Ovis aries: one gene and its partner. The protein of the gene in region 1 purifies or fractionates together with the protein of each later gene. This does not show direct contact. Links are inferred from orthologs where the notes say so. Each region holds a gene or a part of one and is shown on either strand. Other genes may lie near its edges.

The links. Proteins that work in one complex are often made in the same cells at the same time.
Region 2: the proteins of RNF41 (region 1) and MTCL2 purify together in Homo sapiens (affinity purification with mass spectrometry; 3 studies listed by BioGRID and IntAct, with this or other methods). This does not show direct contact. The link is inferred for Ovis aries from reciprocal best matches to the Homo sapiens genes RNF41 and MTCL2.

The regions. Positions count from the first base shown.
Region 1 is NC_056056.1:163,341,821-163,347,434, reverse strand, and holds part of RNF41 (E3 ubiquitin-protein ligase NRDP1), read right to left. Parts: exon of another isoform or gene 2,441-5,614; coding exon 2,169-2,440; exon of another isoform or gene 1,475-2,168; coding exon 1,339-1,474; exon of another isoform or gene 970-1,338; coding exon 866-969; intron 90-865; coding exon 1-89. UniProt on the Homo sapiens protein: Acts as E3 ubiquitin-protein ligase and regulates the degradation of target proteins. Polyubiquitinates MYD88. Negatively regulates MYD88-dependent production of pro-inflammatory cytokines.
Region 2 is NC_056066.1:65,887,820-65,893,933, reverse strand, and holds the start of MTCL2 (protein SOGA1), read left to right. Parts: upstream 1-2,612; 5' UTR 2,613-2,960; coding exon 2,961-3,635; intron 3,636-5,164; exon of another isoform or gene 5,165-6,114. UniProt on the Homo sapiens protein: Microtubule-associated factor that enables integration of the centrosomal and Golgi-associated microtubules on the Golgi membrane, supporting directional migration. Preferentially acts on the perinuclear microtubules accumulated around the Golgi.

The DNA.
Region 1 (5,614 bases):
GCTTGATGACAGCCTGGAGCACAGCGTCAGGGGTGGAGATCATGCCGCCCCAGCGGGTCACTCGTGCAGGCTGCAGGGAGTTCACCCACCTGTGTGGAGGGAGTTGGAGGGGGTCAGTGAAGGTCAGCCCCTTTCTCTGCACTGGCTTTCCTCCTAATAGTAACGACTGCCTGCTCTGCCCTCAGCCTAACTTGATTCCTCCTTCTTTCCTTCCACCATTGGTTCAGAAACTCCAGATCTTTCCCTAGGTGGTCCCATCTGAGTGTCAGCACGTGTTCCTCACCGGATTAAACCCCACAAGTGTAGGGTTCCTGTTGTTTCTTCTGAAAATTCCAATACTTAGCACATGGTGCCTGGCAGGTAGTAAGTATTCAACAAAAATGAATACCGAATGAAGCAATGATTCCTCTATTCTGTGTCCCTTGCAGCACTGTATAGACTGACTCACAGTTTAGTCTATGAACTATGTAGAACTCTAAAACTGAAAGGGATCTTAGACTTCACTTGTTTTTGCCACATTTTAGATCACTTTCCTGGATCTTTGCACTCTCTTCTCTGAATTGTAAACTCCCTGAAGACAGGGACAATATTTTCTCTTTTAACACAGGGTTTTGTGCATGTGGGTACCCACCTAACTCTTAGGTAAGCTTTCCGTTCCATCCACCAAAAATATGAGATCCTGTACTGGGGCTGAAGGTGATCCCCTTCTTTTCCGCCTCGTGTTCTTCATCCCATCATCTGAGGAGCAGTGGCCCCGGCCCAGCCCTCTTCTTACCCTCCCCCTCTGCCACTTCCCTGCTCTTCTCTCCTCAGGGCTCAGTGTCAGGACATGGAACGAGGATTCCACATCCTGAATGACACTCACTCTAGAATCTCGTTGTACTCAATGGTCTCTTCCAGGTTCTGAAGGTTGGGATTGACACTGCGAATTGCACGCATGTATGCCTTGAGCAGCTGAATGTCTCGCTTCTGTCGGAGGGAAGGAGAACAAGGGATAATGGTTAAGACAGACAATGGATGAAAGACAAAATGAAGGAAATCGAGAGGTCTGAGGAACAACCAGACTGGAAGGTTCATGAAGACAAGGATACGACTGTATCAATCCCAGCTGTACCCTCAGTGCTTGGCAAAGTGCCTCCAAGGGAAGGCATTTGATAAATGGTAAATAAATGAATGTCACTGATGGGATAATGAGGAACAAGAAGAGCTCCAGTCTGATTCGCTGTTATGCATAGGCAGAGTATCCACTAACCAGGCTCACAAGCACAGGCACAGATCCGCCGCTCACATCCGTGCCTATCAACCACAGGCACACACTCTGTGTTCTCCAGGCCCTACCTGCTCCGCCAGCTGGTGTTTGTGTTCCGCTGAGGTCTTTTCCAGCTCTGCAATCCGTGTCTGCTGCTGCTGTACCACTGAGCGCAGGTGCTTAATACAGTTGTGGTTTGGCAGCTCATCTTTGGGCATCTCCAGGCTGCCACCCAGGGTGGGAAAAGAACACGACAGGAGCGTTCAATGAGATATGTGGCACAGGCAGGTAACTGCTGAGAGGGCTTTTCTCTACCGGAAATTACTAACATTCATTCATTTCTAACATTCTCTTGTTTACTGCCTTCACTTCCTTCTCCCCAGCTCCCCCACCCACCATATCCCTTTGCTGTCTTCTTCCTCTGGGCCTCTTTCCTTCTCCAAGACAGTGTTTTATCTCCCACGTGGCTCTGCGTTCCTCTTACAGATTCTGCCTGTGGACTCATTCCTTCTGAGAAGCCCTAGATTCAAAGCCCCAGCTATCAGTATTTAATCAAATATCTTACACCCCAAAGAAAGACAAAATAGGACCAGAGGTAACATGAAAGGCCTGGAAATTAGAGCAGTGAATCTGACAAAGAGAAGTAGTACTGGACAAAAGGGAGGAATAAAGTAAATCAGTCTTTAGTGGTATCACACAGATTGCTGAAGCGGTCTCCCTTCTCTTACTAAAGCAAGAGGACAAAGACTGTAGCTCGGAAAGCAGCACAAAACAGATCCTGGAGCAGGGAGCCAGGGAGGCCAAGAGCACTCCTTGCCTATGCACACAGGAGACCTCTTCAGCAGGGAGTGGGAGGTCCACAGATGGGTATAAACGGGAAGACCCCTCTCTGTGGGCAGAAGAAAGGCAGGACTCTTACCCGCAGCCCTGTTCACAGGTCACAGGCCGTTTGGGGTTGTGCTCACAGTCACTGAGGTGAGACATGAGGTTGTCAAGCCGGACGATAGCACTGCAGCCGAACACAGCGTTGTCGCAGGCAATCTGCAGCTTTGACAGCATGTTCCGCATGATCCGAGGTACTGGGCGCAGGTGGGCGACCGTTACAACGCTCCGGTCCACCGGACACGTCTGCTGCTGAGAGAACCACTGGGTGATGCAGGCATTGCAGAAAGCATGCTCACAGTGAGGGGCCTGGAAGAAGTTAAAGCAGGGCAAAGGGGACACAAGAGAATTAGCGGAGCCAGGAGCCTGGGGACGATAACTCTGCAAAGCCGATCAAGCCGCTGTGCAGCTTCCAGCGCCAGAGGTCCCTGGGGTCACGGCAACAGTGAGATCTGCGATGGGTAAGGCTTCAGATGTGTTTCCTGTGCTCAAGATTCCAAATGGATTGTGACATAAGACAAGTAAAAAGTTATATAACAATAAGAACTATAAATAACATTCCAGGACAGTGAGTGCAAGACATAAGGTGGTCAATTATTAAATGCCAACTGGATTACAAATATACAATAATTGGCCAAAAAATCCAGAGGAGGGTGAGATCTTTCCAGTCTAGGTCAGTCAGGGCAGGTATTTATGGACAGGACAGAATTTGATATGGGTCCTGAGGGATGAACTGGGGGGAGGGGGGCAGAGACTTACTGGCAAAAGTTCATTTTTCTTTGGCTGCGAGACCTCAGTTCCCCAACAAAGGACTGAACTTGGGCCACAACAGTGAAAGTGCCAAATCCTTAACCATTAGACCACCAGGGAGCTCCCCCAAGTTCTTATGTTATGAGGCCCAACCCGAGGTGTTGCCCTGAGTCCCAAGGAGCAATGCCTACGCTCCAAAACAGGTCTAGATTTTTGTAGAATCACATTCTCTTCAGTTTCATAAAGATCATATTTCAGCCTACTTCCTTGATAATGCAAAGTGAGAGGATTCTCTGGCCTCCAGCATGGGACAGACAGAGCGGGCACTTACTAGATGTTGATGAATGGATGAATGATGCTGAGCGCTTTTTTATGAGCCAAACATTTTGCTACGTGGTTAAATTTAAAAAGGTAAGACAGTTTCTGCCTTCAAAATGCTCAGATTGTAACATACAAAGGCTTCATAAGAAAAGAAGTCATTATCAATATCATTAATCCAACTGTCACTTTCGCTGAAAGTGAATCAAATAATATTTGATTCTTTTCAAAATCTTAGACCCTATCTCAAAAATCCTAGGTGTGTCCACTTTTCTCCATCTGTACTACCACTAACCCAGTTCAAGTGATCACCTCTCATCTAAATTATCATGTCTTCTAACTGGTCTTCCTGCTTCCACCTTACCCCTTTATAATCCACCCTACACTCAGCACCTGGAGTGATCATTTAGAAATGCAAACTGGATCATATTCCTCACCTGTTTAAAATTTTACAATGGTTTCCCATTACACCTAAAATAAATCCAAACTCCTGCCCAGGACTTAAAAATTCTGTTTGATCTGGCCCTGTGCCTCTCCTCACACCATGCTCCCAGCACTGACTTCAGGCCCTTCTGGCATTCTCTCTTCCTCATCCCACCCTGCTCATTACTGTCTCTTGCTTTTGCTGCTCCCCTTTGCTGGCCCCTTATCGTTCTGATCTCAGCTCAGTTGAACCTCTTTCATGACCTTTCTATCTAAACCTGCCACCCCTGCGGAAGTATACAGAAGGCGCTACTTTTGTGTAAGAAAGGTAGGCAAATATATGTGTACATTCACACTTGCTTGTATCTGCCCCCATACACACTGGAAGGATACCAAATTAACAGAAATGGCTATTGATGAGGGGATTAGGTGGACTGGGACAAAGATGAATTAAGACTTTTCACCATACATCTTTTTCTACTGTTTTGATTTCTAAACCATATGACTTTATTATCTATTTTTAAAAAAATGATGTAGGGAAATCAGCATCCCTAGCAGAAGTTTTCTGTCCTTGGACATGCGTCTATTAACCTGGCTTGCTCCTCAGACAGTAAAGCCTGAGTGGGTGGGGGAGGATTTTCTGTCTCAGAGAGTCACTAACTGCCACTGATTTCTCCACACGTGACTCACCTCAAATGACGGTGCCAGAAAACAGACAAGGCCCTGTCAGGGTGGAGAGGGAACTGACACACCCCATGACCTCTTGACACCACGAGGACAGCCTGCTCCACACCCAGCCAATCTGCTTCTAATGGCATGCGTGCGTGCTAAGTTGCTTCAGTCATGTCTGACTCTTTGCAACCCTATGGACTGTCGTCCACCAGGCTCCTCCGTGTCTATGGGATTTCCCAGGCAAGAATACTGGAGTGGGTTACCATTTCCCTCTCCAGGGGATCTTCCTGACCCAGGGATCGAACCTACATCTCTTACATCTCCTGCACTGGTAGGCAGGTTCTTTACCACTAGCGCCACCTGGCAGCAGGCTGCAAAGGCAGGCGATAGGGCCAGGGCTTGCTGTCACTGGAATGCATTCTGATTTTCATTCAGTTCAGTCATCTGTGTTCCTTTGGGTAGCTAACAACTGGAGAGTAAGAATAAACTCCAAGAATCAAGGGGAGCCTTGTATAAGCAGTGAGTGGGGGAAGGGCCACAGCCCTCATTGACTGGTGTCTGGGTTTGGAACATGGTATTATCTCTACCTAGTCAGAGCAGTGGCAGAGGATTAATTGGTATTTACAGAGTACAGGCAATAAGGACCATGCAGAATGATGTCCCATGAATACAACTGTTAAGAATTCACCTTGTTCATTATACTTGCCTGGTACTCATGAGCTTCTCCTCACACTTGCCCCAGGAAGACACAATTATCTTTGGTCTCTCAAAGCTGGTAAAGAAATGACCTAGTGAAGGTGGCAGCTTTCATATCACAATGCAGAGTACATGGCTGCATTAAAAACTCCCCCCCCCCCCCCGCCAATAAATCCTAGGAAGAAACTAGATCAGTTTATACAGCTCCCCACTTCCTATCTGTTAAACAGTAGGCAGGCCCTCAGGCTGATAGGAGAAGGCAATGGCACCCCACTCCAGTACTCTTGCCTGGAAAATCCCATGGATGGAGGAGCCTGCTGGGCTGCAGTCCATGGGGTCGCTAAGAGTGGGACACGACTGAGCGACTTCACTTTCACTTTTCACTTTCATGCACTGGAGAAGGAAATGGCAACCCACTCCAGTGTTCTTGACTGGAGAATCCCAGGGACAGGGGAGCCCGGTGGGCTGCCGTCTATGGTGTCACACAGAGTCAGACACGACTGAAGCGACTTAGCAGCAGCAGGCTGATAACCTGAGACACTGCATCATGAAAATGCAGAGAGAACTTACTAGGAGAGTCCAGAAGTTCAGTTGTGGAAAGGGAGATGGAACCTAGTTAGAGCC
Region 2 (6,114 bases), on another chromosome or scaffold:
AAAGACTCTGATGCTGGGAGGGATTGGGGGCAGGAGGAGAAGGGGACGACAGAGGATGAGATGGCTGGATGGCCTCACCAACTCGATGGACATGAGTTTGGGTGAACTCCGGGAGTTGGTGATGGACAGGGAGGCCTGGCATGCTGCCATTCATGGGGTCGCAAAGAGTCGGAGATGACTGAGCAACTGAACTGAACTGAACTGATACATCCCTGAACCTATCTTCAAAAAATACAGTCAGTTCCAAGAAGTTCCTAACCTTTCCGGGATCCTCTGCTGAAGTGTTGGGCACTGAGCCTGGCATGAGTGCTCAGGGGTCGGGAAGCCCCGGGTGGTCTCCCCACCTCCATGGAGCCAAGTCTGGGCCCCTGGCAAGTCTTGCTCCTTCTGCTGTTTCCCTCCTCTGAACCGAGTCCAGAGCCCGCACCTTGACCCTACCCAGCCCTCGCCACCCCAGCCCTACCAGGGCTTGCTGTTCCCCAGGCTCTTCTGGGGCTGCAGTGTGGATTCAGGGCTCCCACATCTGAAGACCCTCAGAACAGGAAGGGCCATTAGCCCCCTGCTTAGCTATGAGTGTTGGGACCCAGACAGGGTACATGGTAGAGCCAGGACTCTCGCCCAGGCCCACATGGGGAGATCCAGGCAGCTGCTGGGGGACTTCCCTGATGGTCTAGTGGTTGATGAGTGTGTCAGGAGTGGCTGAGCAGCCTGCTCTAGCATGTATCCCCCTGCCACGGTTCACATCATCCAGCATCTCCAAGCCCACATTCTGCATAGATGGAGAAATTGAAGCTCAGAGAGGGTATGGAGTTTCTAAGAGCCACACAGCATCTCTCTGTGCCAGACCAGAACCAGTCTACAAGAAATGGGGTCATCAGAGCTAGAAGGACCCTGTCCTCCATTATATCACATGAGCTCTTCTGAGGCCGGAGAACCAGAGGAGGGCCTACCTTGGTCCTTGCCTTGGTGGAATGTCATGCCATCCTGTGGGTGATGACTCTTTTGTGGCTCATCTCCTCCCTTGACTGCGTGCTCCGTGAGGTCAGGAATTCACCACTGACAAGTCCACCACTGTGGCTCTCTGTGGACTGGGTGAGTGGACAGTCAGTGCCGGCAGGGGAGCTGGTGCTTTGCCAGGAGGGGATGGAAATGCCCCTGAAGAAGTGTTTGCAGAGGACCTGTCAAGGGGCCCTGCTCCTTACCTGGCTGGTGGAGGCACCTGGAGAAAGGGTTTCAGGATGGAGGGGGCACTCACACACCTAGACACCCCTAGATGGGAATGAAGCCTTGCCTCACAAGGAGAGGGCAAACCCCAGGAGTGTATTCACCGCTGTGGGGTAGGAGGGACAGAAACAAAGTGGAGCTGGGGCCAGCTGTGTGTCAAGGCGGAGGAGTGAGGCAACAGGACTGGGGGGAGGAGGAAGAGGAGGGAAAGGGAAATGGAAAAGGAAGGGGGAAAGGGTTAAGAGGAGGAAACGAAAGTAAGAGGAACAGAGGGAGGAGGAAGGGGCTGCAGAGGGGTAAACACAGCCCTGCCCCCCACCGTCGCAAGGGGCTGCCACCCTGAGGGTGATCGCCACCCCGCTGGGCAGCCAAAGGACTTCCGATGACTCTGCCCAGCAGGGGCCAGGCGGCGATGGCGGGTAGCAGCGAGGAGAGGGGGCGGGGGAGGTGTGACAGCCACATGGGAACATCAACAACACGGGAGCACAGTTCTGGAAGGGAAGAAACGACACCCATCAGAGTCGGGGCTCCAGGGTCATATGGAGTTGCTCTGTCAGGGACGTGTGAGGATCAGGGCAACCAGGTCCAGCTCGGACTAGCCTACGCGGGAGCCAAAACCTACTCCTAAAGCAATCGCAGGTCTGACTTCTCAGAACGGGTCGCCTCGATTTTAGCGGGGCAGAGCCTGAGACTGGGTTCAGGGAAGCAGCGAGCGTGCCTGGGGTCACAGCCGGTCAAGGCGTGCAGAGCTGGGCAGGCACCGAGGGCCAGACGCTCCCCACGACTATGAGAGGGAAGCCAAGCCTGGACGTCCGGAGCACGCCCTTGGAGGCGCGAGGTCTGGCGTCCATCCCGGCTCTGCCAGTAACAGTGGGCCGGGATCGCCGGTCTTCCCCAGGCTTCAGTTTACGCATCTGTACATTGGGATGAACTGTCTCGCTCCGCTAGGTTCAGGGGGGCGGAGTTCGCGCACGCTCCGCACAGCCGCGAGGGGCGAGGTGCTCGGCGTGTATATGGATGCTGGCTCACGCGATCTGAGGTCCGCCGGGCCTCTGCCTGGGAGTCCCCCGTCTCGCGGCTCGCGCGACCTCTGCGCGGATGAGGGGAGCGAAGGCGCCTCCGCCGGGGGCGTCGCCCAGGCCAGCAGGGGAGGGGACGGCGGCGGAACGGAGGCGGAGGGAGCCGGGGCCTCGGCAGCCTCGGCCGGCCTGACCCTCGAGGGGGTCGCTGTTGCCTCGCAGATCCCTCCCTCGCTCGCTGCCTGTGTCCCTCCCTGCCGCTCCCGCCGCGTCCGCCTTTTGTTCGCGGAGCCGCGCGTCCCCGAGCCGAGGCGGCGGGGCGGGGAGCTGGCGGGGCTGCGCGGGGGGCGGGCCGCGCCGGGCGGAGCCGGGGCCCGGGCCGCAGCCGGACTCGGAGCTCGAGAGAGCGATCGGCGCGCAGGCAGCCGGGGCCCGGGCACGCTCCGGGGGCGCGGCGAGGCCGAGGGGGCGGGCGCCGGGCGGAGCCGGAGCCGGAGCCGGGGTGCCTGGAGGCGATCGGGCCGCTCTCTCCGAGCCCAGAGCAGTGGAGAGACCGTGCGGCGGGGGTCGGGGCCGGAGCGCAGCCCGGGGTCTGAGGTGGGCCGAGAGGAGCCGCGACCCCAGCGGCCGGAGCGGCGCCAGGAGCCTCCCCCCGGGCGCGGAGGCCGGGTGGGCCCGGGCCATGCGCGCCGCTCCTTGAGGCCAAGGCAAACCGCGATGGAGGTGCCGGCGGGGGAGCCCCCGGCTCGGGGCTGCGGCCCCCCGCCTGCTCCCGCACCGGAGAGGAAGAAGAGCCACCGCGCGCCGTCGCCGGCCCGGCCCAAGGACGTGGCCGGCTGGTCTCTGGCCAAGGGCCGCCGCGGCCCAGGCCCGGGCGCCGCGGCCGCTTGCAGCGCCGCGTCCTCGGCGAGGCCGGACAAGAAGGGGCGTGCGGTGGCGCCCGGGGCGCGGGGCGCAGGGACGCGAGTGGCCGGGGTCCGCACCGGGGTCCGCGCCAAGGGCCGTCCGCGCCCGGGGACCGGGCCGAGACCGCCGCCACCGCCGCCCAGCCTCACCGACAGCAGCTCGGAGGTGTCGGACTGCGCGTCGGAGGAGGCGCGCCTGCTGGGCCTGGAGCTGGCGCTGAGCAGCGACGCCGAGTCGGCTGCCGGGGGCCCCGGGGGGGCCCGCACGGGACAGCCGCCCCAGCCGGCGCAGCCGGCACAGCAGCCTCCGCGGCCCCCCGCCTCCCCCGAGGAGCCGTCGGTGGCCGCGTCGTCGGTGGGCAGCAGCCGCCTGCCCCTCAGTGCCTCGCTCGCCTTCTCCGACCTCACCGAAGAGATGCTGGACTGCGGACCCGGAGGCTTCGTGCGAGAGCTGGAGGAGCTGCGCTCGGAGAACGACTATCTCAAGGTGCGGGGTCGGGGCGGGGGTCCCGGTGGGGGAAGGGGAGGCCGCGGGGAGGCGCGGGTGTCCGCCCCACTGGCCCGAGGCACCAGCCGGCCCGCTGTCCCACCGCTCTAGCTGGGCAAGGGGCCTAAACCCTCAGGGGCTCCCTCGCATCCCGCTTCCCATTGTATCTGGGAAACCTTCTCCTAAGGGAGGAACCTGGAGGAGACTGCCGATGGGCTTTGATTTAGGAAGGGGGTCTTGAGTGCTTTGGAGGATGCTTAGATAAGGTGCCTGGGATGGGGGTGGGTGCTCCGTGAGGGCCTGGACCTCGGAAATCGAGGCTCAAAGCCCCCACCCCCAGGCCGCTGGGTGGCCCTCCTTTCTGGGACAGGCACTGGTGTGCCGTTTGCCGGGGAGACCTGTGGCCATCTCTGGCTAAGGAGAGGCCTGAACACTAGCCTGAGTCTTCACCCAGGGCTTTCCTGGCTCGGGCCTGTCCCTGCCTGCCTTTTAGGGCGGGTCCGCATTTGAAAGCATGACATCTGGGAACATCCCCTTGGCTAGAGTCCGACTTCCGCGCCCAGTCTAACGGTCCTGCAGCCTGGGAGGATGGTGTCCTGGGAGAACCCGTTCACACCTCCCTAAATCCCAGGGTATTGTCTTCTGCCCAGTTTTGGATTGGCCCTGTATACACAGCAGTCCTATCGTGCCCCCCAGCAGTGCCCATCTCCTTTCCAATAAGAAGAGGAAAGCTGGCATCTGAAAGAGGCTTTTTCTCTGGGCATGTAGGGGACCTGAGAGCTTCCCAGGAAAGCAGGCATGACCGTCACCCTTTCAGTGCACATGAGGACCTACTGGATGCAGGCCAAGCTGTCTGCCCACTGAGGCAACTTGAGCGTCGGCCCAGCCCTCATATGTCGGTGTTGGCCTGGGAGATTGCCGGCTTCCTGGGTTCTCCCGCCACGGGCTGGGCACGGTTTGGAAGAGGCTGAAATGTTACCTGCTCTTATCAGTTGGTATCCTAGTACAATACCCGGAGCACCCCTGGCCAAGAGCCTCCGAGTTCATGGCACTCTGTTGATTTCTGTCTGCCTGGCAATACTTACCCTTGGCAGTGTAGCTCTTCGGGCCAAAAGGGTTTCTCTGTCTTTAGAGTCTGTGAGGTCTTGCTTAACTATGTCTCTCCTTCTCCATCTCCCCCAGGATCTGCTACCCCACATGTGTTTAGTAACTGCTTGTACAATAGAAGGACAGAGTCTGTCTGAATCAGAATAACCTACCCTTTTAGCCTCTAACCTTTCCTCAGACCAGGCCTTAGTTTTCTCATCTGTTAATTGGGAGGGTAAGCCTTCCCAAAGCCCCCATTCAGTGTGGACAATCGGGGGCTCAGTCAGCTCCTGCAGTCTTCACAAGCCAGCTGTGAGGAGGCTATTAGGAGAGAGGAGGGAGATCAGCCAGAGAAGGCCTGGCCCTGCCCAGGTGGTACCTGACCTGCCTTGAGCTCCTCAATCCTGCCTCCTGGCCTCCATTGCTCCCCTGGCAAGGGAAGATGGGCTGTAGAACTTGACTTCATGGTCTCCCTCATCCACCCCCACCAGCTCCTGTTCATCCCAGGAAATTACCTGGCAGAGCTCTGGAGTCCTGCCCAGCCACCCATGATTGTTAGGATGGGAAACAGTTCCAGAAGGCTGGAGATTGAACCTGAGGCCTCACAGGGGCCAGGACCTGGCTGGGGACCACCCACTGCCTGGGTCAGGGCTCAGCCTCAGTTTCCCTCATTCATTCAGTGTTTCTGGCTTCACATGCAGGCCTCAGACCACTGTTATATCTGAAGAGTGTGCCTTCCTGGTTGTGTGATCTTGGGCAAGCCCCTTAATGTCTCTGGACCTCAGTCTCCCTGTTGTAAAAAGAGACATCACACATCTTCCAACCTTAAGGGTTCAATGAGTTATGTGCGCAAACACCCTGAGAGCTCCACCCTGAGTGGAGTGAGCCTCAGAGGAGGGTAATTTCCACCACTGTTATTCTCAAGTGGTACATGACACATTTCCGTGGGCGCTTACCATGTTCTCTGGCAGACTCTGTGGGGAAGGAATAGAGCCTCCTCCCCACCCAAAGTAATCCTGGCCCCTCATTCATTCATTCACCAACTAGTTACTTAATACCTGCTGGGTACCAGGCACTAACACAGATCTGAGGATGAAGTGTCTGTTTTCATGGAGCTGTTGGTCCTAGTGGAGGAGACTGGAATTAGACAGTAGTCACACACTGCATCACACACTGCATCACACTAGGGATCGTCACGAGGGTGGGGAGGGACACGAGGGGGGACTGGGCGGCTTAGGGAGGCCAGGATGAGAGGGAGCCAGCTGAGTAAGGAGCTGGAGTGAGACCCTTCCAGGCTAAGCGAAGTAGGAGGAAACTTGTGGAATTCAGGGAACAGTTCTGAGCCTGGAGAGAGGGAGGAGATTGGATGGGAGAGGTGAGCAGGACAGGTTAA